2 linked regions of the Tamandua tetradactyla genome follow. Each later gene encodes a partner of the first gene's protein in a complex. Links are inferred from orthologs where the notes say so. Each region holds a gene or a part of one and is shown in the gene's direction. Other genes may lie near its edges.

The links.
Region 2: CACNA1C (region 1) and CACNG1 share a complex: the UniProt entries of both Homo sapiens proteins name them as parts of the calcium channel complex. The link is inferred for Tamandua tetradactyla from reciprocal best matches to the Homo sapiens genes CACNA1C and CACNG1.

The regions. Positions count from the first base shown.
Region 1 is NC_135333.1:62,236,136-62,248,454, reverse strand, and holds the start of CACNA1C (voltage-dependent L-type calcium channel subunit alpha-1C), read left to right. Parts: upstream 1-7,217; 5' UTR 7,218-7,515; coding exon 7,516-7,657; intron 7,658-12,319. Other genes in the region: DCP1B (mRNA-decapping enzyme 1B), read right to left, coding at 2,447-2,582, 4,713-4,779. UniProt on the Homo sapiens protein: Pore-forming, alpha-1C subunit of the voltage-gated calcium channel that gives rise to L-type calcium currents. Mediates influx of calcium ions into the cytoplasm, and thereby triggers calcium release from the sarcoplasm.
Region 2 is NC_135332.1:7,076,189-7,088,269, reverse strand, and holds the start of CACNG1 (voltage-dependent calcium channel gamma-1 subunit), read left to right. Parts: upstream 1-6,763; 5' UTR 6,764-6,817; coding exon 6,818-7,052; intron 7,053-12,081. UniProt on the Homo sapiens protein: Regulatory subunit of the voltage-gated calcium channel that gives rise to L-type calcium currents in skeletal muscle. Regulates channel inactivation kinetics.

The DNA.
Region 1 (12,319 bases):
CGTCCTCTAGTATAGTCCACTTCATTCAGGATTTTTCTGATTGCTTCCTTGTGGTGTCATTTAATTTGTTCTTCAACTTGCCCTCCCCTCATTTTCTGTAATCTAAGAAGTTAGATCTCAAGACTTAATTACATTCAGGGTCAATTCTTTTGGCAAGAATATTTCAAAGTAGTGGTGTGTATTTCACATTATATCACACTTGGAAGCACATAATGTCTGTTTGTGCAGATTTTAATGATGCTGCCCAATGGGTAGCAACCTGGTCTTTCCATGGTCAAGTTCCCATCAACTTTTCTCAAAATTACAACATTACCAATAATCGTTGCCGGAGTCAATAATTTTACTAGGGTGTTTTAAGTCCTATTATTCTGTCTATGTTTATTAGCTGGTATTCTTTGGGAGAGAAGAAATTTCCTTCATCAGCCAGGGCTATTTGGTTACTCTGAAATATGGTCCATAGAGGGAAGGCAGGATAAATGCTTAATTCTTTCCCATTAATTACCGATTTTCAGAGTAAGGAGTTGGTATACTACCACTTCTAATGATAGCCAATAGTATTGTTTATGCATATTTTAGGTTTGCTTGCTCTCTCTCTCATTACTATGAATTCATATATTTTCATACATTCAACAGTTATTCTTTTTGATGCTTCAGCTAGCGGTCCCTTTAAGCTGACTACTGTGCCCTTTTCACATGATCCTATTAGCTTAACTTTCCTGTACCAGACCTTGAATCAGTAATTTCTTTATGGAGCCCTGATACCTTTTTTTTAGGAAATAGTATTTAGAAACAACAGTCTAGGTGACCAGGGTGCTTATTGTTCCTGGGTTGTCATTTTTTTTTTGATCTTTTAGGAGAAAGAGCTGGAAACTACATATTTAAGAAACAAAACATGAATAATAATAATTCTGTATTTTTCCACTTAAAATTTAACATTACACAGTTTTAACTTAATTTCTTGAATTTTTTATTTCTTCTCTTATGCTGAAGGTTTTGGTTCAGACAACAATAACGTAATTACTCAATTGTAATATTATACAACAGTTACAAAATCACTGTGCCAATATTACTACCAACAAAAAAAAACACTGAATGAAGTTTATAATTTCTTCGCAGTTCTTTTTGTCTTTAAAGTATATCTACTAATACTAGGTTTCAAATACTGGGTTTCTGAAGTCACTCACACTAATTTTTTTTCTAAGTGACTATGTCATAATATGAACTTTGGTTAAGTACATTTGCTTCAGCTAAGTTTCCAAGTGTTAGGACTTTATTTTCTTTTTTCTTAATTTACTTTTGGCCATTTTTCTAGAGGGTATTAGTCTTTTACTTTTCAATTTTTAGAGCTCTTTATAAAATAGAGAACTCAAACCTCTTCCTGTTATTTAGGGTGAAAATTTTTTCCTCAGTTTTTTATAATTTCTTACTTGAGGTTTTTAAAAAAACATGCAAAATGTTTATTTTTTTATTTTTATGTAGGTGAATTTATTGCTCTTGGATTCTGAAGCATAGTTAGGAACATTTCCACTTCCCCAATTATAAAGCGATCCATACAAGTTTTCTTCTGGTACTTGAATGGTTCTATTTTTACAATTCAAATTTTTAACACATTTGGAATCCATCCTGGTATACGGTATGAGGAAAGAATCCAATTTTGTATTTCTCCAAATGGCTACAGTTGTCCCAACACCATTTCTTTAAAAATCCATTCAGTCGCTGATTTGAGATTGTCATCTTTATCATGGTCCTAAAGTTCATATACACTTGAGTCTAATTCTAGGACTTTTTCGTCTGCCCAATTTGTCATCCTGGCTGTTCATGTGTCAGTACCACACTGTTTTGAATATCTAGAATTCAGTGTTTTAATATCAGGTGGAGCTTATCCCGATATTGCTCTTTTTTTTTGGCAGGGTTTTCCTGCCTAGTCTAACTTATTTTAAATTTCTCCATCTGACCGTTATAATCAACTTACCTGGCTCCGGGACAAAAGAAAAAAAAATGAAAGGAAAACCGTTAGTATTTGTTTAGGGATCATCTTAAATTCACAGATTAATTTAAAGAGAACTGACAGCTTTATGCATTCTTATCTAAGGACCAGGTATATATTCCCATTTGTTCAAGGTCTATGTTTATGCCTTCCAGGAGTGTTTAAAAGTTTACCTCACACAGGGTTTGCCCATTTCTTGTTCATCTTATCAAAGGAATTTTCTATTAATTTGTTGCTACTGTAAATGAGATCATCTAGGAAATCTACTGGATATCATTTGCATTTATGAAGGCTACTGATTTCTCAGGCTACTTTTTAATCCAATCAAAAGCAAAACAGTAGCCTCCTTTGACTTCCTAAAAGCAAGTAAAGATTTTATTTTTCGTATGATTTTGTTTGGTGGAGGAAACAGTACTCAGTCTTTCTCCACTGTAACACAAGGAGGGGGTAACAACTTACCTTTGTGTATTCATCTTTGGCCTTGGTGAGCATCCGTAAGATATCTACTTCCTTCCCCTCTCCTGAATTGAGGATCACTGGGGAGACTCGTGCTCCAGCTCCCTGGTGGGCTTTCAATTGCTCATATTGAGTTAGGCTAGAAAAAGTAGAGAGGGACAATCCATATAACAAAAACAACTCAACATAAATGCTTTTTAAAACCATCCCAATTCTCACCCAGTTGTTTTCATACTGTTACAGTCATATTAGAAATAAGACTGCTTAGGAAATGAAAGAAGAGAAACAAAACTTGAGGTCCTGAGTACACTGATTACAAATATGAGTCTAGAAGAGGGGTTGGCAAACTGGCCGAGTCCAATCTACTGCTCATCCACCTATGGAAATTCTGCAGGAGCATCGCCATGCTCATCTGTTATTGCCTATGGCGAGTTCCGCACTACCATGGCAGAGTTGGATAGTTGTGACTGAGAATGTATGGCCCACAAAGCCTAAAATATTTACTATCTGGCTCTTTACAGAAAAAGTTTGTTGACTCTGTAACATTTGAAAGGACTCATTCATTACTGAGGAAACCCAATTTGGAGTTCACAAACCTTGAGGAAACAACATTGCAAATTGAGATTTTTCTTTTTCCCTCATTTCAGAGCACAAGGTTGAGTACGGCAACTCAAATTCTGTAGTACTCTGGTAGTTTAGAAATGCAGTGAAGATTCTATTCTAATTCTGAGAAGACGGAGCATTAAATACAAAAAAATACAAAACAGAGCAATGAGAAGTGTCTTTTGTTGCTCTGAAAACAAAACTGAAGATTGCTCCTATATGCTGCTTGAGTGATGTTGAGAAAAATACTTTTTCCTTTTGTGTGCTTTGACTTTCAACTCAATTCTTTTATTATTGCCATAAAGTTTATGGTGAAAATAGACCTGAGGATTTACTGAGAGATTCAATTCTATCTGGGGAAGAGGACTGAATTCACACAAATAAGCTGCTCATTGCTAGTGAACAATCAATTTCCTGTCCCAGCTGTTAAGTAATTACTGCAGAATGCTGACAATTTTAATATGGCCTCTTGGCTGAGCTACATAGTATTTTTTAATCTATACAAAATCTGCTAGTATAATCCGATGCACAGTTTACAATAACATGGATGCTCTAGAAACTAGTTGTTATGGTGGTAAATACTGGTTTGAACGCACTTAATCACTATCTGCAACTTGAACTAGTTAGCTAAAATTAGCTACCATAAGCCGGATTTTCAGGAATTGATGCTTATTTATTAAAAATGTGCTCGCCCCATTTTTTATTTTCTTGGGGTCATTTGTTCGGCATTTCATCACCTCAGGATTTCAACTGCGGAAGGAGCTGCCCTGTGACAGTGTCACACTGGTGTGGGCAGCAGCCATACTCTGACTGTGGCTAGTACCGTAGCAGGCTGACAGGCAGCACGCGTAGGAAAGGAATTTTATTCTGAGCCTCATGCATATTCCCATAAACAGCAGAGAAATAACTGCCTCACCGTGAGCAACCCTGTGGGTCTATCTGTGCTTTCCTGGGCCCTCCTCTCAATGCAATCAGGGAAATCAAGAGTGGGAAAGTCAAAACAGGAATTCCCAAAGTGCAGAATGGGACAAAACATGGATAGTAAAAGAAAAACAGACTAATAACAACAGAGAAAGACCATCTACTGATCACTAAACTTATACTGACTCTGAAATTTCCAAAGAGATTGAAAATAATGGCTATCCTAAGAAGTCACAGTGTTTGAGAGGTGGGGAAATTCTGAACTTCTATAAATATAGATAAACCGTTAAAGGAAAGCATTTAGGGCAGGAAGGAAAGGAACAATTTTAGACTGCAAAGCAGCCTTTTAGAATGGCTCTCTGGATGTTCTTTTTACTCATATACATATTGATACCTTATTTTTCAAAGCAAAAACTTGCTAATTGACAAATGAGGAAAACATTAAGAAAAACTGCCATGTAGAAGAACTCATGTTACATATATTTCATACTGACAGAAAATATGAGTTGAGTCATTCTAGATGATGAGTCTTACCTACTGAAAATAAAGTAAGTTATATGTCTATTTTTCATTTATTAAATAATATTATTTTTTACCTTACTTCTATGAAAAGGATTGCTATGAGATATATTGTACATATCGTATCTGCTATAAGAGATATAATATATTATAGTGTAATTACATTCACTTAGAAACTCAAACAAAAGAACTGAGCCCTGAAAAATATTTAACCTTCAGTACTTACTTTTTCATAAGCTCTGCAATTCTTTGGCATTCTTCCTTATCATAAAACCAAATTCCATAAATGGATACTGCAAAAAACATATCAAACAAATTATGAACATCTTCAAAACCAAAAAATGGAAAGAAATTCCCTTTTTCATTCTAAATGAAAACACATTTTTTTAAAAATAAATGAGATGGATTATTGGAGCAAAGTCTTCAAAACTGAGCACTGGAATTTTTTAAACCCACAGAGAAATCAGTAGTGGTCTTATACATATACCCAGATACAGACATATCCAATAAAGTACACTTTCCTTGAAAATATACCACGTGGATGCAGGAGGCATTTGGCAAATACTTCATAAATGAATGAATACAGATTGAAAAGGAAATTAGAATTTCTAAACTTCCTGGCTTTTCTATCCTCCATTTTCTTATTTCATAAACATATTTCATCTTTAAATATTCAGAAAATTAATGCACAAATTATACCTAGAAAACCTCCCCCGCCCCAGGAATATGTTCACTGAAAATCAGCTTTGTAAACTGCAAGTAAGGATACAGTGCTAGAAAAAATAAAATTTAATAATAAATCCTCAACTTCAAAACATCTATAAAGAAAATTTACAAATGTTGAAAGATTTGATATGGTTGAGATTTAATCATTTAGTAATAAAAGAAAAATGTGGTTATAATACAGCTGCTATTGATTCATTTAATAATTTTCAAATAAATTATATACTTTATTATGTGCCTACTACATCAATTTCATAGCAATGGCTGAAACAGTACCAAAATACATTTATAAATATCTAGTTGAGGATCTGGTGGCATTAATCATGCAAATAATGCATTAACTACATATACATTTTTAAAACCTTCATTGAAAAGAGTGGCAATATTATGATAGGCCAATGAAAAACAGAAAAAAAATTTTTTAAGGAAACAATGTTTTAAAATGTAAACTTGTGAAACATTTAATTATATGGCTACTAGACAGTCATTAAAACAGCTGTGATATTTTAAGATTTTAAGTGTAGCTTTCTCCTCCACTTAACTGATCAATGGCAAGGTATGGAATTTCTGTTTCTTATCAATAATGACTCAGATAACAAAGGTACAGACGTTTTTACTGCTATTTTAAGCAGGCATCTTTAAAAGCCTACCTATCTGAATTACTTGCCAAAAGGTGGCAATGACGTTTTTAACTTTTTTGTACTATCAGTACACCAGGATTTATATCTTACCTAACTACTACGTAAAGTGGGGAGGGTGAAGATGGAAAAAAACAAAACAAAACACCACCTCCAGATTCTTCTTTAACAGGATTATTTTATCCTCCTAGAAAGAAATACATACACATACTTCTCCTCAGTACACTGGTAATCTTTGGAGAAGGAAAAAAAAAAAGAACATCTGAGTTCTGAAGTATACTTGCTATGAGAGCCTTTCTATCAAAAAAGAAATTCTTTCATCTCAAGATCATTAAATGTGTATCTTGAAGATCTATATTCAAGGCTATCTCTTGTCCATCAACACTAATCTCTTATGCCAATTCCAACACAGCTTCCTGTATTCTAACCCACTAGCTGTGTGTTGTAAATCTGTATGTTTTGGTGGCTTTAATCTTAGGTATAAAACTAGGAGCCTGGTTTACTTTTTTGGTAAGAGTGAAAATTTTCTTTCCTGGGAGTCTTCCCAAACTGCCAAAGGAAAAAGGGGGTGGCAGCCTAACAGGTTCAAGAATGTAGTAGCAGAGGAAACTCGCCAGCCATTCGAGTCTCACCAGCAGAATGTATTAACAGAAATATTTTGGGTGCAATTTTTTGTATTACACATTTGTGGCATTTGACATAAGGAACTAGGTTGTCATAAGCAGAGGATGCCAAGGAAACTGTTGATAGAAATAGAAAAACAGTCTGACATTGTCATTATCATGACATAACTGAAATGCAGATTAAGGAAGGGGAAATGCTATGAAAACATCTTTCACATGTCAAAGCAAAATGAAGGAAAGACTGGTTAGTGGTAATTATAAGACAGTGTAGGACAGATTAGGACAGGTCCATTTATCGCTAAAGAACATGAATTTAAGATTAAAATAAGATCATTTTAAAATCCCAGTTAATGTTGAGTTTGAACAGAAAATTTAAATAGCCAGGAAAAGAAAAGGAAAAAAAAAAAAAACCAGGTAGATTTACCAACAGACTTGGCTATTGAAAGGACCATGCAGATAAAATGTAGACTGGGCCTCATTTTTTTCTCCCTAAAATAGTTTTGCAACATGAGCTGCACTCCAGGAGAAGAGGCAGTAAAATTACATTAAAGTACACATTCCAGCAGAAATTTTCTGCTTCTTAGGCTCAAGGTCTACCAACTCCTGGACAAAACTCTCACTCTTCCACACAAGAGGGTCTATCAAAGCAGCTCGTGGTGATATATAAAAACCAGACCATCATGCCTAACAGAGGCGATGAGCTGACAGACTGACAGAAACCATTAACGTCACATTTCAATCCAAGTTTTCCTGTAAAGTCACTGGGTGAGAGGCCCGCCTCTCCATAGACAGCATAGCAGAGAAGAAAAAGACAAGGTTGCAAAAGAAGCAAGAAAGAAGGTATAGTTTTCAGAACTCTAAAACTTAAAGTAATTACTGCAACCTAAAGTTGCAACAACGTGATACGGCTGTATAGCTTTTGCAGCACTGTGTTCCTATGGAATGGTTTCCAGGTTTTAAAAAATTACGAGGAGAACCCTCACGGGTAAGGATATTTACTACGAGTTCAAAATCCACCTAATTATTAGTACATATCTGGAGATTTATGATGCTTCGAGCCTTTGTTCAGCCCTCTACGCCGCCATACCAGCCGCTTTCCAGCCACCTGTCTGCTGAAACAGAGGTGAAGTTTAAGGGCACCTTGGTGCACGAAGCTCAACTCAACTATTTCTACATCTCTCCTGGAGGTAAGAAACCCGAAAGTGGGGAATAAAGAATAGGAAAAACATGTTGAAATTGATAGAAAGGATTCTAATGATACCTAGAATGTGTGGCTCCACCACTTAGTAAAGACTCTCTTGCATTTCTCTTTGTACAGAATTCAGGACTTCCCACAGCATAGCTGTGACATTTACCTTATACTCTGCACTGTTCTGGTTTATGGCAGGATTTGGAAATTTTTGATAGTAAAAAAAAGCTGTGTTTGAGGTAACAGATATTGCAATATTGCTTTTACATGTCTATGAAAACACTGATCTACCTTCCTTTTAATTCTGAGAGAAAGATGAAGGAGATCAAATTTTCAGTTTTAGATTTCATGCCTGAATTTTATAGGGACACACAACAGAGAGCAAGATGACTGTATCCAATAACAATAATTTCTTTTGCAATATCTTTCAGTTGAAAAAGCTAAAGCTGATTTAACATTAATAGGCCTGTTAAGGGGTTATTAGAGGCAATATCCATCATCACTTACATGTACATTTTCATTTGAAACACTTTGATTCTTATTAGCATGGTGCATTAGTTTATTTTGGAGGTTCTTTGGGAGATTTACTGTGTCTAGTTTATGTTTCTGATAAATATTTCCATTCAGTCTCTTCTTTTAAGACAGTTACCATTTGCTTTATCATTTACGCAAAATATCTTTCAATTCCAAATCTCTGAAGCTTGAAATAATTTAGCAAGGATTCACGCTAATATTTGTGCAACTTTAAAGAATAAAGCATACTTCTACATGGTTAGTAAGTGGATAATAAATAATTATGTATGTAAAGCTTAAATAGGTAGGATATCTAATTTGGCAATGCTCTCCTTCTTGCTTTCCTTTTTTTAAAGAACAATAATTCCTCTCAAAAGGAGAGGAAACTTTGTTTTTCTTAGTCAGTATGGAGCAAGGAACGTGCTCAAATTCTCTTTTTTGCTGGGAAAGCCATAGAAAGATGGCAGTGTAATTTACTCAAATCTCTCCAGGCATTTAAGGATAAACCAAAATTTTTTTTAAAAAGGAACATCAAATCCCATTCTTTTTATGATGGCTCTCAGAAATGACTGGAATAATAAACTCAATGGGAGGACCAAGAATATCTAATCATGTACTTGGTGTAAACCCTTGCTTGGGGGACTGCATTCAAATACAATATTACTTGATTTATTGTACCATCTATCTAGTGTGAGTCATTATAAATTTGACCACGTTGATGATGACTTATTACTAGCATTTGGTAGTCAGCATGCACAAACAGCTATTGACATTGATACACTACCACCACCCTAAGAGATCACAAAGCACTCAGAAACGTAGAAAGGAAGAACCATGAAATTTTAGAGCTGGAAGCTAGCTAAGAATTGCACAGCTGAATAACCTAATTTCACTAATGAGGAATCTGTGGTCTAACAAGGCTAATGATGTAACCAAAGTCATTTTTCTTTGATCAATCTGTTCTGTCTAAAATATGCCCCTCTCCTAGGTTTACAAATGAAATAGAGTATTCAAAATAATTTTTCTTAAATTTGCTAGGCTTGGTTATAAGGGTTTGGGAGCTAGTCTTTTTAAAATCAAGGTTCATGTGGATCTCAAAAGGTGAAAAGGAAGGATGAAAGGGAGGGAGGGAGAAAGCAAGGAAGGGTGAGGAAAAAAAAAGAGGGAGGAAGGAAATAAAGGGATTGGGAATTTCTGGTATTGGCAGTAAGTGCTAGAGCATAATTATGCTGCTTATGTACTAGCATCCACAGATGGGAGACAAAAGGCTATGTTTGGCTGCCTCTGCTGATTCTGTACTTCTACCCCATTTGGAACACTTTGCACTAAAAATTATTTCCTTTGGCATCTTCTTTAATGCCTTTAAAGTAATGTTCTTTCAACCACTTTCTGCCTTAGTTTTACTGACCAAACACGGACAACAACCTTGTAAACCAAATCTTCACAGGCCACGGAGAGTCTACATAGCACTGTTATCTTTGCCCCCTGGGTCTGGTTCTTTTCATATGACATAGTTTTACAGCACCTCACAAATCAGTGATCCTGTGACCTTGAAATATCGGAAGGATCACAGTAGAGGAGAAGCAGTTTGTTTTATGGACAACTCATGCTCATGATAACTGGGGGAAACAGTAGAAAACCTAAACAGATACTGTGAAGTAAAATAACCCTTTGATTTCTAAATAAATTAACTTTTTGTGTTAAATTGACTTTAGAAAGCCAATGCCTTAAAAAAAAACAACCTGCCCAGTAAAGCATTATATTAAAATAGTGCCTACTACAAATGACAGCTTATTATCTTCAAAGTAAAACATGGACTTGTCTTTTAAAAAATTTTCATTTATAATAAATGCATGTTGTCAGTGAACCTTCTTAGTCTTAAAAAAAAAGTAGTTATCCTGCCCAAATAGAAATATCTTGTGGTCTACGACTATCCCCAGGTTCATGAAAGGTCAGATGGAATCTTCTTTACTATATACTAATTTCCTAAATTTATTCATTTCAGGGGGAAATTCCTTTAATCCAAGAGCTCTAACAGAATAAGTAAACATATTTTAAAAAGTTAGGAAATAGAAAAAAGGCATAATCAGTAATAAATATAAATAGGAACAACTTATTCTGCCTTATTGACCATTTAAATTTATACTTTAATTTTATCCATAATTTTGCTGATTAATTTCAACTTCTCTTAGCCCACAAATATCAAAAAGGGTGTGGTGTTTTGAAGCTGTAAATACCCTAGAAAAGTATGTTCTTAAAGTTAATGCATTCTTGCGGATATGGACCCATTGTAAGTAGGATCTTTTGGTAAGTAAGATCTTAAAAGTGTCCTTTATAAGAGAATGACATTCAGACAAAGAGAGAGAAAGTTAAGAAGCAAGAAGCTAAAAGCAATGAAACCCAGAAGAGAAGGAAGAGACAGCAGACAGCCACCTTGCCATCTGACAGAGGAGTCCAGGATCGCCAGTAGCCTGTTTGCAGGAACAAAGTATCACCATGATGATGCCCTGATGTGGACAGTTTCACGACCTCAAAACTGTAAGCTTGTAAGCTAATAAATGTAATTGTTAAAAGCCAACGTGGTTTATGGTTCTGTTTTCAACAGCTTGACAAACTAAAACACAGGGATTCCCCAAAATGTTTTCCCCTGAATCATATACAGCTCATCCTTGAAGATTGAGTCTTTCTCACTCTCCTAGGGATAAATAGTCCCAACTTTTCCTTTGCTCCCAAAGTTTTGGTACACCTTTCTATTAAAGACACAACTGTTTTCTCCACTGGATTATAAGCTCCTGGAAGGTAGAGCTTTTGTTAATATACCCAGCAAAGCAATGAGCATGTGGTAGACACTCAACAAATAATTGCTGGATTAAACTGAAATATAAGACTTCAAGATCTTATGATTCTTATAAGTGCTAATATCAATAGTCATCACTATTCTGGCCAGATTGGCTGGATCCTCTGTATCAATTGATGACACCTACCAGGAATTACCGCATGGGGATTTTTCTCACATTGCCCCTTTTTATCTTTTTATTCTCCTTCTAACTCGACTCAGAGTTTATTCTGCTTCCATCATTTTTATTCTTAGGCATAAATAATGCTGATGGGATTCTGTCATTAGGATATGAGTTTCCTGAGAATGCATAATTCTATTGATCCAGCACTGTGTAGGCACTAACGTACTCAATTATGTGTCTTTATTATTACAACAATTCCACCATATACCATTCTTCTTGATTGACTACCTGTCAGTCACTGGCAACTAAGAATCAGAGAACACAATCATTGTGCAAAGTCACATGCATATCTCTTCATTATGGAAAAACGCAGGGTACGGTATAAGTAATGGTACTTTCATCTAGCAGAAAAAATAAGATATTCATAGTCCAATCATGCCTGATAATAGTAATCTGAAGTTTACATATACTTATATCTAAATTATCTTAAAACTATAAGATTTAAATACAATATCAATTAGTCCAGAAGCACTTACTACAAACCTATTATCTTAAGTGAATCTTAAAGTTCAGTCTCATATAATTGTAGTTTCTGAGACATATGTTTAAGCTAAATATAAAACAGAGAGTATCTCTATAGTCTATTCCAAAGAATAACTTCCTCATTTTGAACCAGATTATTTAACAAGTGTTTAATAATTATAAGGATAACTTTGTTGAAAACAGCTCAAATATAATCACATAATCACTGAAAACTTTCTAAGATTTTGCATAGCAATGCTATAGCCAAAGAAGCTTAGTGCTACTTCCATCGTAGGATGGTGAAAAGTGAGCCAATGGTTCTGTACTTTTTTCATTTGACCTTAATCTATAAGCATTGATATAGATGATGCCACTTTTCCAAAAGCTGTTTATGTTATAAACAGTTAAATTATGTTTTGATTCTTCCATTAAATAAGAGCTCTAAGGTCACATGTAGGATGATTCTAAGCCCATTCTTAGTCAAATTGTTTTCTTTCTCTAAAACCTCTACGTACAAGGAAAAAATGATAATTTTTCCTTTTGTGAGTTAAGAATTAACCTAGATTCCAGAAATTGATTATTTAAAAGTATTTTCTAAATGATTTTTGGACAGATATCAGTAATACTAAACACAGACTCTAAAGGAATACACATGAGCACAACCA
Region 2 (12,081 bases), on another chromosome or scaffold:
AAATCTTTTCTTCCATCACAACTGGGAAAAAGCTTTCTCCTAGGAGGGCCTGGATAGACCCTCCTGAATCCTTTCTCAAAACTGTCATCTCCCAACTCCTTCCTGGGTATCCTTCACCTCCACCTAAAGCTTCAGACTCTAGCTTAAAGCCCTTTCTCTGCACCCCAGGTCCCACCACCATCACACCAAGGCACGCCAATGTGGGCCAGCCACTCTGACTCCCTGGCCTCACAGTCCTCTGGTCTTCTCACCTCCATTGACCTTAGAAGGACCTCTGGGCCCACCCAGATAACCCAGAGTCTTTCTCCCAAGTTCCAGGTCTGCTCCCAGTTTCCACATCCCGTGTCCATGGCAGACCACTTCATGTCTCCTCAAATCTTCACTCCCCTCTTCCATGGTCTTAGAGAGCTTTAGCTGGTGATATTGCCACCCAGCTAATTTCCAAAGCCCTTATGTATGGTCAAAAGCTTAAATTCCTGCCAACTCAAATACTTTGTGCTACTTCTGAGTCTACTGCTTATAGAGAAATAAGAGTGAACCGTCACTCTTCCTGCTCTTTCCTGCTTCCTGTGGTCTGGAGCATTGACACATCATCGACCTGCCTTTGGCCTTGCTTATGAGAACACCCTAGAGCACAGTGCAACAACTAGATGGAAGGTGCCCAGGTCCATGATTGACTGGATGGAGACCAGCCGGACCACCTGGCCTGTGATGGGAAAGAGACACACTTGTACCTCATTAAGCTGCTGCATTCAGGGGCCTCTTTGTTGTAAAAACATAGTCTATATCTAATGCGGTGTTTGAACCTGAACCCTTCTTAAAATTCACCCATTCTCCTCCAGCATACTTCCCTTCTGTCAACAGCACCATCGGTCACCCAGGCCGCCAAGTCCAAAATCCTGGCTCCTTCCTCCCCTCATCCATCACATTTCATCTCACGCAGTCCATTGGGTCTACCACCCATGTGTTCCTCAAATATATGCTTTCCTGCCTTGAGCTGTCTCTTCGCCTCATTTTATTCCAGGTCCCCCCCTTCCATCACCCTCTTTACTCCTGTCCCAAGCAGATGGCCACACCACTGTCCAGTTTTAAACTCCAATGGCTCCCACTGTTCCTAGGATAAAGGCACCCCCAGTTTTTGGCATTTTCTTTTTTAACGTGCTTTATTGGGCCCTGCAGGTCTGGCCCCTGCCCAACCTTATCTCTCATCTCCTCCCCATCCACTCCTTCCATGTGCCTTAGCACTCTACCCAGACCTGATCACATCTGCAATTTACAGTCTGGACTTTTCCTGCCCTGGGTCTTTGCACCCGCATCTTCCCCTGCCAGTTAAGTCCTCCTTCCACTGTCCTAACCCCTACTCATCCTCCATTTCACCTGCGAGGGCTCTTCTGACCCACCCACTCCGAGGACAGTTGCCTCTTTCCTGGTGTGGCACAGATCCCCAAAACCACCCTCAAGTTCAATGATTTTCTCGAAGGACTCATAGGATTCCTAAAAGCTACCATGCTCCTGGTTATGGCTTATTACCGTAGAGCTTAACAGAGTAAAATCTATACTTTTAATTCTAATTTAAACACTTTCTCATGCCTGGAGAGACCAGGCATGAACTGCCCATTGTCCTCTCCTGGTGGAGTCCTCCTCACAGTGCTTAATTCTCCCGGCAATGATGGGTGACCACGCACGCAGACTTCTGCCAATCTGAGCCTTGGTGAACGTGTTTTTTATGGAATGCACACGAACGGCCTTAGCTACGCAGTATCCATCCTGTTTCTTTCCCCCAAGATGCCAAACCATCTGGCTTGGCTGCAGGCCCCAGGTGTACGAAGACACTCTCAGGCAGGACATTCCAAGGGCTCAGATGTTACTCCCTGGAGCTGGTCAGGGTGCAGTCCTTTCCTTGGAAGGCACAGGGTTTGGACAGCGAAGGTCTGCTGAGTTACCCCTTACATAGCCTATATCTAATGCAGTGTCTGAACCTGATCCCTTCTTAAAATTCATCCAGCAGGCCCTCCGCTTCCCCTCTCAGCCCTGCCACCGCAGAGGACCCTCTCGGACAGTCCAGGTCCATCTCTCTGCCAGTCCGTGGGCTGCTCAGGGGCAGACCTGTGTCCCTTCCATGTCGATAGCCCTCAATGATCAGCAAGCAGCTGACGAATGAATGAATGTGTGAATGCATGTCACAATCACCAAATAATATTTCTCTGGCTCCACTGCTACCCATTCTGCAGGAAAGGCATCAACACTCGGAGTCCTCTTAAATCATTCTCAGGGTGAGACTCACACTCTGGATGGCGACGGGGTTTCCAGGGGCTCGTCAAACTCGCCCTGTCCCGGCTCAGGGAGGGCCACTCTTTCCCTTACATGCTGGTGAACTCACTGGCGAGACGTCCCTGTGGCTGCCCAGGCCATGGGCCCCACCGCAGCGGACGCCCTACTCACTCACCTCAGCCCCCGAATGCTTCCGGGGACACTCACGTCACTGTGCTTCATTGTCACTCTCGTCCCACGGAGCAGACACTATGTCTTCTCTGCTTTGCAGGCAGAGAGGCTCAGCAGGGTTAAACATCTCCCACAGGGCTCAGCAGCGGCAGAGCTGGGGCTCAGGGCTGCGTCTGTGCCTATGCCCCAAGCCCCTGTCACTGACGTACACTGGCCTGGCGCCCTCACACATCCCAGGCACCGCCTGAATGGTTACTACTTCTTCTTTTTTCTTTAAATTGACTATTCTATTTTTCTTTTTAAAATATTATTATTGAGAAATCTTCAACATATATACATTCTATAGATGGTGTACGATCAATGACTCACAATATCATCACATGTATTCATCACCATCATTTTCTAGAACATTTGCATCACCCCAGAAAAAGGAATGAAAAGAAACAAGAAAAAACTCATACCATACACCTTACCCCTCCCTCTCGTTGACCTCTAGTGTTTCCATCCACTCTATTTCTTTTACTCTTTGTCCCCTCATTATTTATTTATTTATTAATCCATATTTTTTTACTCATCTGAAATGGACTATTCTTATTTTGGCCCTGCCCTGAAGAAATAGTATTAACGAAAGCACGGTTTGGATACTTCCAATCCCCATTCAATAAAATGTAAATGTCTTAAAATTTAAAAAATGCACGTGCCTGGGCAACCCCCATGTCCCACAGCGAAGGCGTTGTGGGTGTTTGATCTCGTAGCGTTCTTTGCACTGCTGAACTTTAGTAAATATGCTTTTACTCTCCAGCTGCTCCGCAGACACCTGCAGGCCTCCCAGGGCAGCTCTGGGAAAGCCTTGCAGGGCGGGGGGAGGGGACAGGTGACACGCTGTGCAGGGGCCCCCAGGGGATGGAAGTGGGGGCAGAGAGCCAGAGGGCAACGGGGGATCTGAGGTGGAATGCGGAGGTCAGAAGGTGGAGGCACATTAGGATGGCCCCTCGCTTTTTTCGAAATGGTATTTTAAATCAAACACCCAAAGCCATGCTTGAGCCTATTTAAGCCTGAGCTCAAAATCGAATCAGCGCATTACCGAAGGGCAGTTACTTGGCTGTCGGCCTGACGTGGCCTGGCCCCGGCTCCCACCGAAGCCTCCAGATGAAGCTTCCCAGGGCAAACGAAAGGGGTTCATTTCGGATGCGCACAACACAGACAACTCCCAGATGTCCACTTTGAAACGATCTGTAGACAATGTCAGCCCTCCGGATGATGCTCCCTTTGACCTTGACATTCCAGAGGTCGCCTGGGCCTCCTGACAGCCCTCAGCATCTCGAAGCAAGTTAGTCCCTTGTCCCAGGTGGCCCCAGGTCTGCCCCAGCTGCCATCTCTTCTGTCCCTCTGATCTTAAAGCCAGGTGGAAATGTCTTTTCAATAACATAGGGCAGTAAATTATTTGTGCCTCTGTTTCCTTCTTTTTCTTACTGTATCAGTCCTTCTGATCAGTCCATCCATCCATCCATCATTCAACAAACGCTGATGCAGAGCCCATCCTGAGCCGGGTGCTGTGCCTCTCATCCTCCATACCCCCCAGAAGCTCACAGCCCATTAGGGGAAAGTGATCCTTCTGTGGGCCATAACTAACACCATCATCCCAGCCTTCCTGGAATGATTGCCTCCCGGGGACTAAGTGCATTATTTCTAATGCACCCACCAGCCCCCACGCCAAGCGCCAGCGCCCTTGTTTCACAGATGAGGATAAGGCCGTCTGGAGAGGTTAGGACTCGCTCGAAGCTCCACGGCTGGAACACGGCAGAGCAGGGACTTCATCCCGGGACTGGCTGGCGCAGGCACTGATGGGCGGGTGGGTTTCCATTTGCTCACCGCCCCCCACGCCCTCCACCCTGAGGTGCTGGAAGAGAATGATCCCTGGGTGGGAGGGGTGAGGGGCGGGTCATCCCCCAGCCCCGGCTCCCAGCCAGTGGCAGTGGCCAATGAGCCCCTTCCTGGCGGGCAACGCCCTGGGGGAGCAGGCAGCCTGGCTGTGGTTCTATGAGCAGACAGGAGTTTTTAGGAAACTGAGGCTGAAAGTTGACCTGCCTACACTCTCTGAAGCTGCCAGCTGTCTGGTGAGATTTGCAAAGATGAATTCCAAAGGAAGAGGCCCCCCATCTTTAACGCTTTTGCTCACTCGGTTGGAGGACAAAAAAGTTCACATGCAGCGCAGACTTGCCCCTAGGTGAGGAAATTTGCTCTCTTGCTGCTCTCACGAGATGGTCTCGCGTGGCTAACCCTGAGTGTCCCCCACGCCAGGCCCCACCTAAGACACCTCTAAGACGTCAGAGGCTCCCAGCCTTGGGGAGCTTAAGGGGCTCACATCCACCTCACTAAGAAATTTAAAATACATTTTTATTTTTTCAGATGACACGTCAGTTACTTGCATGTGGAAATTAAAATAGCTTCTTTCTAGATATTCTGTCATCAAACCCCAGAACCTCATCCTTTTGCTTCCCTGCCCTGCTTTGCTGATGCAAGTGGCAGGCACATGGTGCGTCTGCCTCAGGCTCTCCAGCACCCCCCGAGGACCCTGTTTCCCGGCGGGACTTTGCCTGGGCTTCTTCTGAGGCCCAGCCCACGTGGGCGGCGTGAACAAGCTCCGAGCTCCGGGGCTGCGGGGCTGTGTCCCCAGGATCTCGGAATTCTCTTGGAGGCAGCCACTCCCCACGCTGAAGCAGGGGCGGTGACAGGCTTCAAGAAGTGAGTGAGTTCACTGTGATGGATTAGCTCCCCCTGGAAACACAGAGGCGGGGAGGGTGGGAAGAGAAGGGAAGCAGAGCTGAGAAAGGTTGTGAGAGAAGCTCTTGGGCGATAAATAATCCAGATGGGGAGAGAGAGCGGTGCCCACGGGGCTGGTTTTAGCACAGGGATTCAGATGCAGGTGAAAGAGCACAGGCTTGCAGCCAGAGCCCAGGATCTCAGCTCAGCTCTGGAGCTTGTTGACGGATAGTCTGGGCTCGTCACAGCCTCTCTCTGGGCTGCAGATTTCCTTTTCAGTCACTTCATAGATTCAAGATTCATAGAGCTTGAAGTTTCCTCCCAGCTCCAATCATTGCTTAAGGGCGTGGACTCCGGGTTCACCACTTACTAGCTGTGCAACCTTGCATAAGTTACTTTGTGTCTCTGAGCCCGGTATTGTCATCTATAAAATGGGAGCTACAGCTGTCCCCACCTCATGGATAAGTGTGACAGTCGGCTGTGATGACGTGTGCAGGGTTTGGTGGAGTGCCAGGTTTATAGTAAGCACTCACCAAAGAGGAGCTAGGGTTAGTGTCATTTCCGTTCTCAGCACTCTGTGTTCTCACAACCAGACCCCTCCAAGACTTGGAAGCTCAGGATCCCACTCAGCTCAGGGCTCTATTTCTGGCCACACCTCCGCCCCTTGGACACACCCTAGAAGAGCCACCTGCTGAGCTGAGAAACCAGAGCCTCAAGCCCCAGCCAGGGTGGGGTGGGGGGCTGTGGACAGCTGCCCTCCCCGCCACTGCGGTGCTCCCAAGCTTTGACGTGGTCTCTGGTGTAACTGCACCCCCATTAGCCTCCTGGAAGTCTTGGTAAATGGACCAACTTCTGTGTTTTAGTTTATTTAAACACATTTATTTTGTAAAGTCATTACCTGCCATTAATGGCAAGTACAACTGAAAAAGTACAACGAAAGCAGATGGACAGACAAGTTCATCTGAATTCTTAGTTTTTGGGGGGGCCACTCTCTGTTTCAAAGGACGCTTTGCCAATGTCAAAAGGTTGTTCAAGACCTACAGCCCCCAAACTGAATTGTTATTCTGGGGCCCCAGAAGGAATGGGAAGGGAAATGGAGAGGAAATACCATCCTCAGCCTGGGGTCTGTGCTGGGTGATGCCCTGCCCTGGGGGCGCCTGGAACCGTCCCTTGACCCGGGAGCCACAGTGGGCTTGGGGCTAACGGCCTGGCCTGGGAGAGGGGGCCCTGGGCGGGGGGTACCCAGGATGTCCCCTAGGCCCGCAGGGCGAGGACCTGGGCTGAGGGGGGGGGCTAGGCAGCCCCGGCCCAGCCAGGTCCCTTTCTCCCCCAGCCCCGAGCAGGCAGAGCCCCGCTCACCAGCCCCCTCCCCAAATCAGGTCCTCGCCCTGCAACCTGAGCCGACAGCGCCCTGCGCGCGCCTGGAGCTGGGCATTACCAGACCCGTCCCTCAGGCCCCTGACGGGGCAGAGCAGCTGCCCGGCCGTGCCCCAGCCCCCGCAGCCCCAAGGCCGGCCCCCTCTGGCTCAGCGGGGACACTAAACTTAGCTCGGGCCGGGCAGCCGCGGCCGCCCCAGTCGTGCCCGGAGCACCCCATCCCTCCACGGCCACCATGTCCCAGACCAAAGCGCTCAAGGTCCGCGTGACCCTCTCCCTCATCCTGGTGGGCGTCGTGCTGGCCCTGGTGGCTGTGGTGACGGACCACTGGGCCGTGCTGAGTCCCCGGGTGGAGCAGCACGACGCCGCCTGCGAGGCCGCCCACTTCGGCCTCTGGAGAATCTGCACCAAGCGGATCGCCGCGCGCAGCAGCGAGGACGAGAGCTGCGGCCCCATCAGCCTGCCCGGGGGTAACGTACCCGCCCTGTCTGCGCTGTCCCCTCCTGCCCTCCCCTTGTCCCCCTGGAAAAATCAAAAAGAGCCAGGTCTCTCAGCCTCGGGACAGAGCAGACATCCAACCCTTCTAGCCCAGGAAAGAGGATCTGAGTTATGTCTGTCCGTGCTGACAGCCAGAACTGGGTTGGGAAATAAGGGCATTTGTCTCCAGCTATTTCTGTCTTGCTGAGGTGTGGGGCTTTTCACCCAGAAAATAGGGCTGGACAGACAGGGCAGATGGCTCAACAAGGAAACTGTGGGTCTTACAGGTGGGGGACTTCTGGTCCCAGCAGCGGTCACCCTGCTGGGCCCCCCTCTCTCCCTACAGAGACAGGCTGGGTGGCTCTGTGTCCTCAGGCTTGAAGGGGCCTATGGGGCTGGCAGGTTCCCTCCCGGCCTCCAGGCAGGGCTGGACACAGGAATGGCTGTGGGATGTCTGGGCCCCATGCAAAATGAAAATGCAGGGTTCCTGGTCCCAAAGTGATTAAAAATTTCAAGATGGCGCCAGGAGAGCATTAAATGAAGCGTGAGACCCTTCTGAGCGTGGCCTGCAGGAACCACCTGTGTCACGTGCCCCTGAAGCCGTCCCTGGATATATAGATGAGCCACCTGCCCTTTTCTCAGAACTTCAGTCCTTCCCTACAGCCTCCCTTAGCTCTGGGCCGTAATTTCAGTTCCCAACGAGTGACTGAACCACACGTTCAGGCAAGAATGTAAGGTATTAGAGTGACTGGTCTTGATTCTGCAAATGGGGAACCCTCTGTATTCACAGGAAATGCGCCATATGTTAGAAGAGAACCAGAGACCTGTCTGGCCACACAGTGTTCATAGACCCCTGAATGAATACAGGCTGGGGTGAGGCAAAGGCCTCTCTTGGCCTCCTCCTTCTCTGTAAAATATGGGTCAGCAACCCAAGTCCCTTCCCATCCCCACAAACATCCTGCCAGTGTGACAGTGGACAAGGGTGTGGGGCATCCCGCCTGATTTTCAGAATTACTTCCTGTCTTATCAGACTGGATGTTCCTTGAAACTTGCCTTTTAAGGAAGTCAGTGCTGAGTCTCCAAATATTTTGCAGTCTATGCAAGGCATGGGCACAGAAGCCCAAATCCCTTCTAGCTGCTCTCCTTTCTCTCCCTTTCCCTCCTGCTTGCTCCAAGAAACCCCTGCCTTGCTCACCCCCACTAGATGCCTGGAAGATTCATAAATACTCAGCTGTCTTGGAAAAACAGAGACTTGGGGCTGAAGGCCTTAACAGGCAAGGGCATGTGTTTGAAGGGTATCATATAACACTGAAGCCTGTGCCCCTCGCCACTGCTGAGCACACCCTGTAAACAGATGTCATCCAGACAACTCACCCGGGCACGGCTGGGCAGGGCAGGGCAGGGCAGGACAGGGCAGCTTCTTCAGGAATCATGCATGGAGACACTTTGTCATGGTTCTGCCCACCAACCTTGGAGACATGCCTTTTAGAGGCTGACGAGTTCGTGGGGCAGATGAGTGAGGGAGTGTGAGCACAGTCCACTCAGGAAGGGATGGCTTAGCGGTTGGGGACCAGTCTTTCCATGGGGGAGCAGTGGGCGTGGCGCAGCCTGGTGCCCGAGCAGGGCCCACCCTGACGCCTTCTTGCCCTAGTCCAGCTGTGAATCCAGCCTCCCATGCTAGTGACACCAAGTGCCACCTTCTGCCCAAGAAACTTCTAAAGTATGTTTCTGCCACGCTGCAAGGAGACATCTTTTTCCTCTCCGATCCACCCTTCCCATGCTCCCTGGGACATTCTTTTCCAGGGAAAGGAAAAGGCTTCACCCGTGGTCTCTCATTCGTCATTAATAGCACAACTATTATATTAACAACAGACACCAAGGTAGCGCTGCATGTAGAGCATTGTTCTAAGTGTTTAAGATATATTAACTTTGGGTGACTTCAGACAAAAATGGCGGAGTAAGGGCCTCCAAAAATCCCTTCTTCCAGAATAGCAATGAGAGCACAGGCAAAAATGGTCAGAATCTACTTTTTCAGATTTCTGGAAATTAACCCCAGTCTTGCAATGATCTGGGGAACATTCATTCAAGAAAATCGGCTGAATCGATAAAAACAGGAAGCTTTGTGGCGTTTTAACTTGCCCTAATCCCATACACCCCAACCCAGCTCCACAGTAGCCTTGAAAATGAATATTCTGCAATCTCGGTGAAAACCAGCAGCCCGGCAGCCACTGCAGGGAGCAGAGGTGGTTGGAATGCCTGCCAAACCCAAACCCAGTGAACTGTCACTCTTTGACCTGTCAGGTGGTTCCCTGGGAGACCCCACTTGCAAGCTATCTTTACTTGACCTGGTTCTGTGTTCACCCAGTGTCAACAGTCTTTTTCTAAAGAACATTTGTTAAAAACAACCAGAGGCGATTGTTTAACATCCCAGCTGCCTGAGGCAGTAGATAGTAGTTGGAGAAAATAATAGACTAACCAAAAAGTCTAAAAGGAGAAGTTGGAGAATGGGATGTCCATAGGGAGATTTGAAAAGCTCCAACATATTTCTGGGAATCTAGAAAGCCACGCACCTTTGTAGGCCAGTGTGCGCTCAGGAAGACCTGAGAAGGCCCCATGCTCTTACCTCTAGCTGATGCTGAGGCTTGGCACAAGCAGGAAGTAAAGTCTAAGACAGTTGTAAATGGCCTGGCTGAATGTTGAAGGTGTGCCCTCAGCATGCAGACAGAGCACCTCAATGAAGACCAGGAGATATATAGGTTACACACATTTAGGGAAATCTCTTACCTTAATTTCGGTTACCTGACCACTAAGTTAACCAAGAGAAGACCTCAATGGTCACACACAATAAATAATACAGGCTTTACATCATTAATTCTGAAAAGTTATTAAACAAACAGCAACAACAAATAGCAACGATAACAAATCCTGACAAAGGGGGAGATTCTTATTTCCAGAATTGTCACATTATAATATCCAAAATGTCTAGTTAGCAACAAAAGATGATGAGGCAGGCAAGCACACAAGAAAGTACAACCCATACACAGGGGAGAAAAGCAAACAATAGAAGCCCAGACATTGACCTTATCAGAGACAAAGACTTTAAATAAGCTATTTTAAATATATTCATAGAATTAAAGGAAACTGTCTAAAGAACTAAAGTATGAGAATGATGCTTCACCAAAGAAAGAATATTAAGAAAGAGAAATTATTTTTTAAAAGGGCCAAATAGAAATTCTAGAGTTTAAAAGTATAATAACTGAAATGAAACATTCACTAGAAGGGGCTCAACAGAAAATCTGAGCAGGCAGAAGAAAGATTCAGTAAACCTGAAGATGGGTCAACTGAGACCATCTGGTCTGAGGACTAGAAAGGAAAAAAAAACATGAAGAAAAATGAGCAGAGCTTCAAAGACCTGTGGGACGTCATCACGTACGTCAACATACAGATAGTGGGAGTCCCAGGAGGAGAGGAGAGAGAGAGAAGGGGGACAGAGAGGATATTTGAATAAATAATGACTGAAAACTCTCACACTTGTGAAAAACATTAATCGCACATTCCAAGCAGCTCAATGAACTCCAAGTAAGATGAACTAAAAAATGGCCACATCTAGACACATCACAATCAAACTGCTGAAAGAAAAAGAGCAAGAGAGAAGCATAGACGAGGTTCTCAATAACATTAACGCTGATTTCAAATCAGAAACTAGAAGGCAATGCACTAATTTATGTACATTAACTCATTTAATCCTCACAAAACCCTCCGTGATGTCCATGCTATTCTCATCATCCCATTTTACAGATATAGAAATGGAGGGACAGAGCTGTTGAGCAACTTGACCGGGGTCACACAGTAAATGAGTAGAGCTGCTGGGATGTGTACCCAGCCATGTGCCCCTAAAATCTACTTTCTCAGTTGCTGTATTATACTACTTTACAAGAACCCAGTCAGTAGCTTGTGTTCTCATTCTACAGAGGGGGAAACTGAGGCTCAGAGTGGTCTTCCCAAGGTGAAACAGGTAAAGTTTCAACACCCAAATTTACAATCCAGAGTCTATTTGCTCTCCAATTCCGCCCCCTCACCCTCTACCTTACCCATCAAGCTCCTAAAAGCTGCTAACTCGAGTGAGCACATAGAGTCCGGCTTTGGACATGGCAAAGTTTGGGGGAAGCTGGGCCAAGAGCTGGTGTAATGGAGGAGACATCTAAGGTCCCTTTCAGGCATAGCCTGCTGGAGAGCTTGAGCCCAAAAGTTGCCTAATCCAGTTTTTTCACTGCTCCAAAGAGTCTTAGAAGCATCATCATGTAGATCAGCATCTGAGGTCACTTCCAATGCCGGCGGAATGAGAGTAGGGGCTTTCCCAGTTGTCAGGAGTACCTGTCTGTCTGAAAGCCCAAGTGAATCCCAGAAGGGTCGTCTTCTGCCCTTGGGCTGCACGAAGTGCTGCTCCTTCCTGGCTCTGCCTCCTTAGGGCGGGAGAGAAGCAGCTTGGCAGCGCCCCATTTCCCTGCTGGTCCCCCTTCTCTCTGTGCACGGAGCTGTGTGAGAGTGTGCCCTGCTCCCTTGCACCCACGTGAACCCGGGTTGGAGCCCCAGGCCATAACTAGACTTCCCCACCTACGATAACAGTGTTCTGAAGCTCGGGGGAGGCTCGGTGATGTCTCCGTTCCGATTTATAGTCTTCAGTCAGAGGAGTGGGGGAGACACAATAGAAACCAGCCTCGGGAGCATCATAAGCTTCTTGTATAAAAGGGATGCCGAGAATATTGAATCAATGCAAGTAAGAAGTGGGCACAACGTTTCCTCCCACCTAAGGCACCGGAACTCTTGGTTTCGTGCAAATTAACAAATTCTTTTTCAATACATTAAAATCTCCATGGACTGGCACTTGGTACACTGACGCATTCTGAGTGATAACCCAGAGGTATTCCCTAATACCATGGGCCATTCCAACCACTGAAGCCTGATCCATATTAACTCACCTCCAGCTTGGAGTTAAACATGTTCTTTAGTTCTTTGAAATTG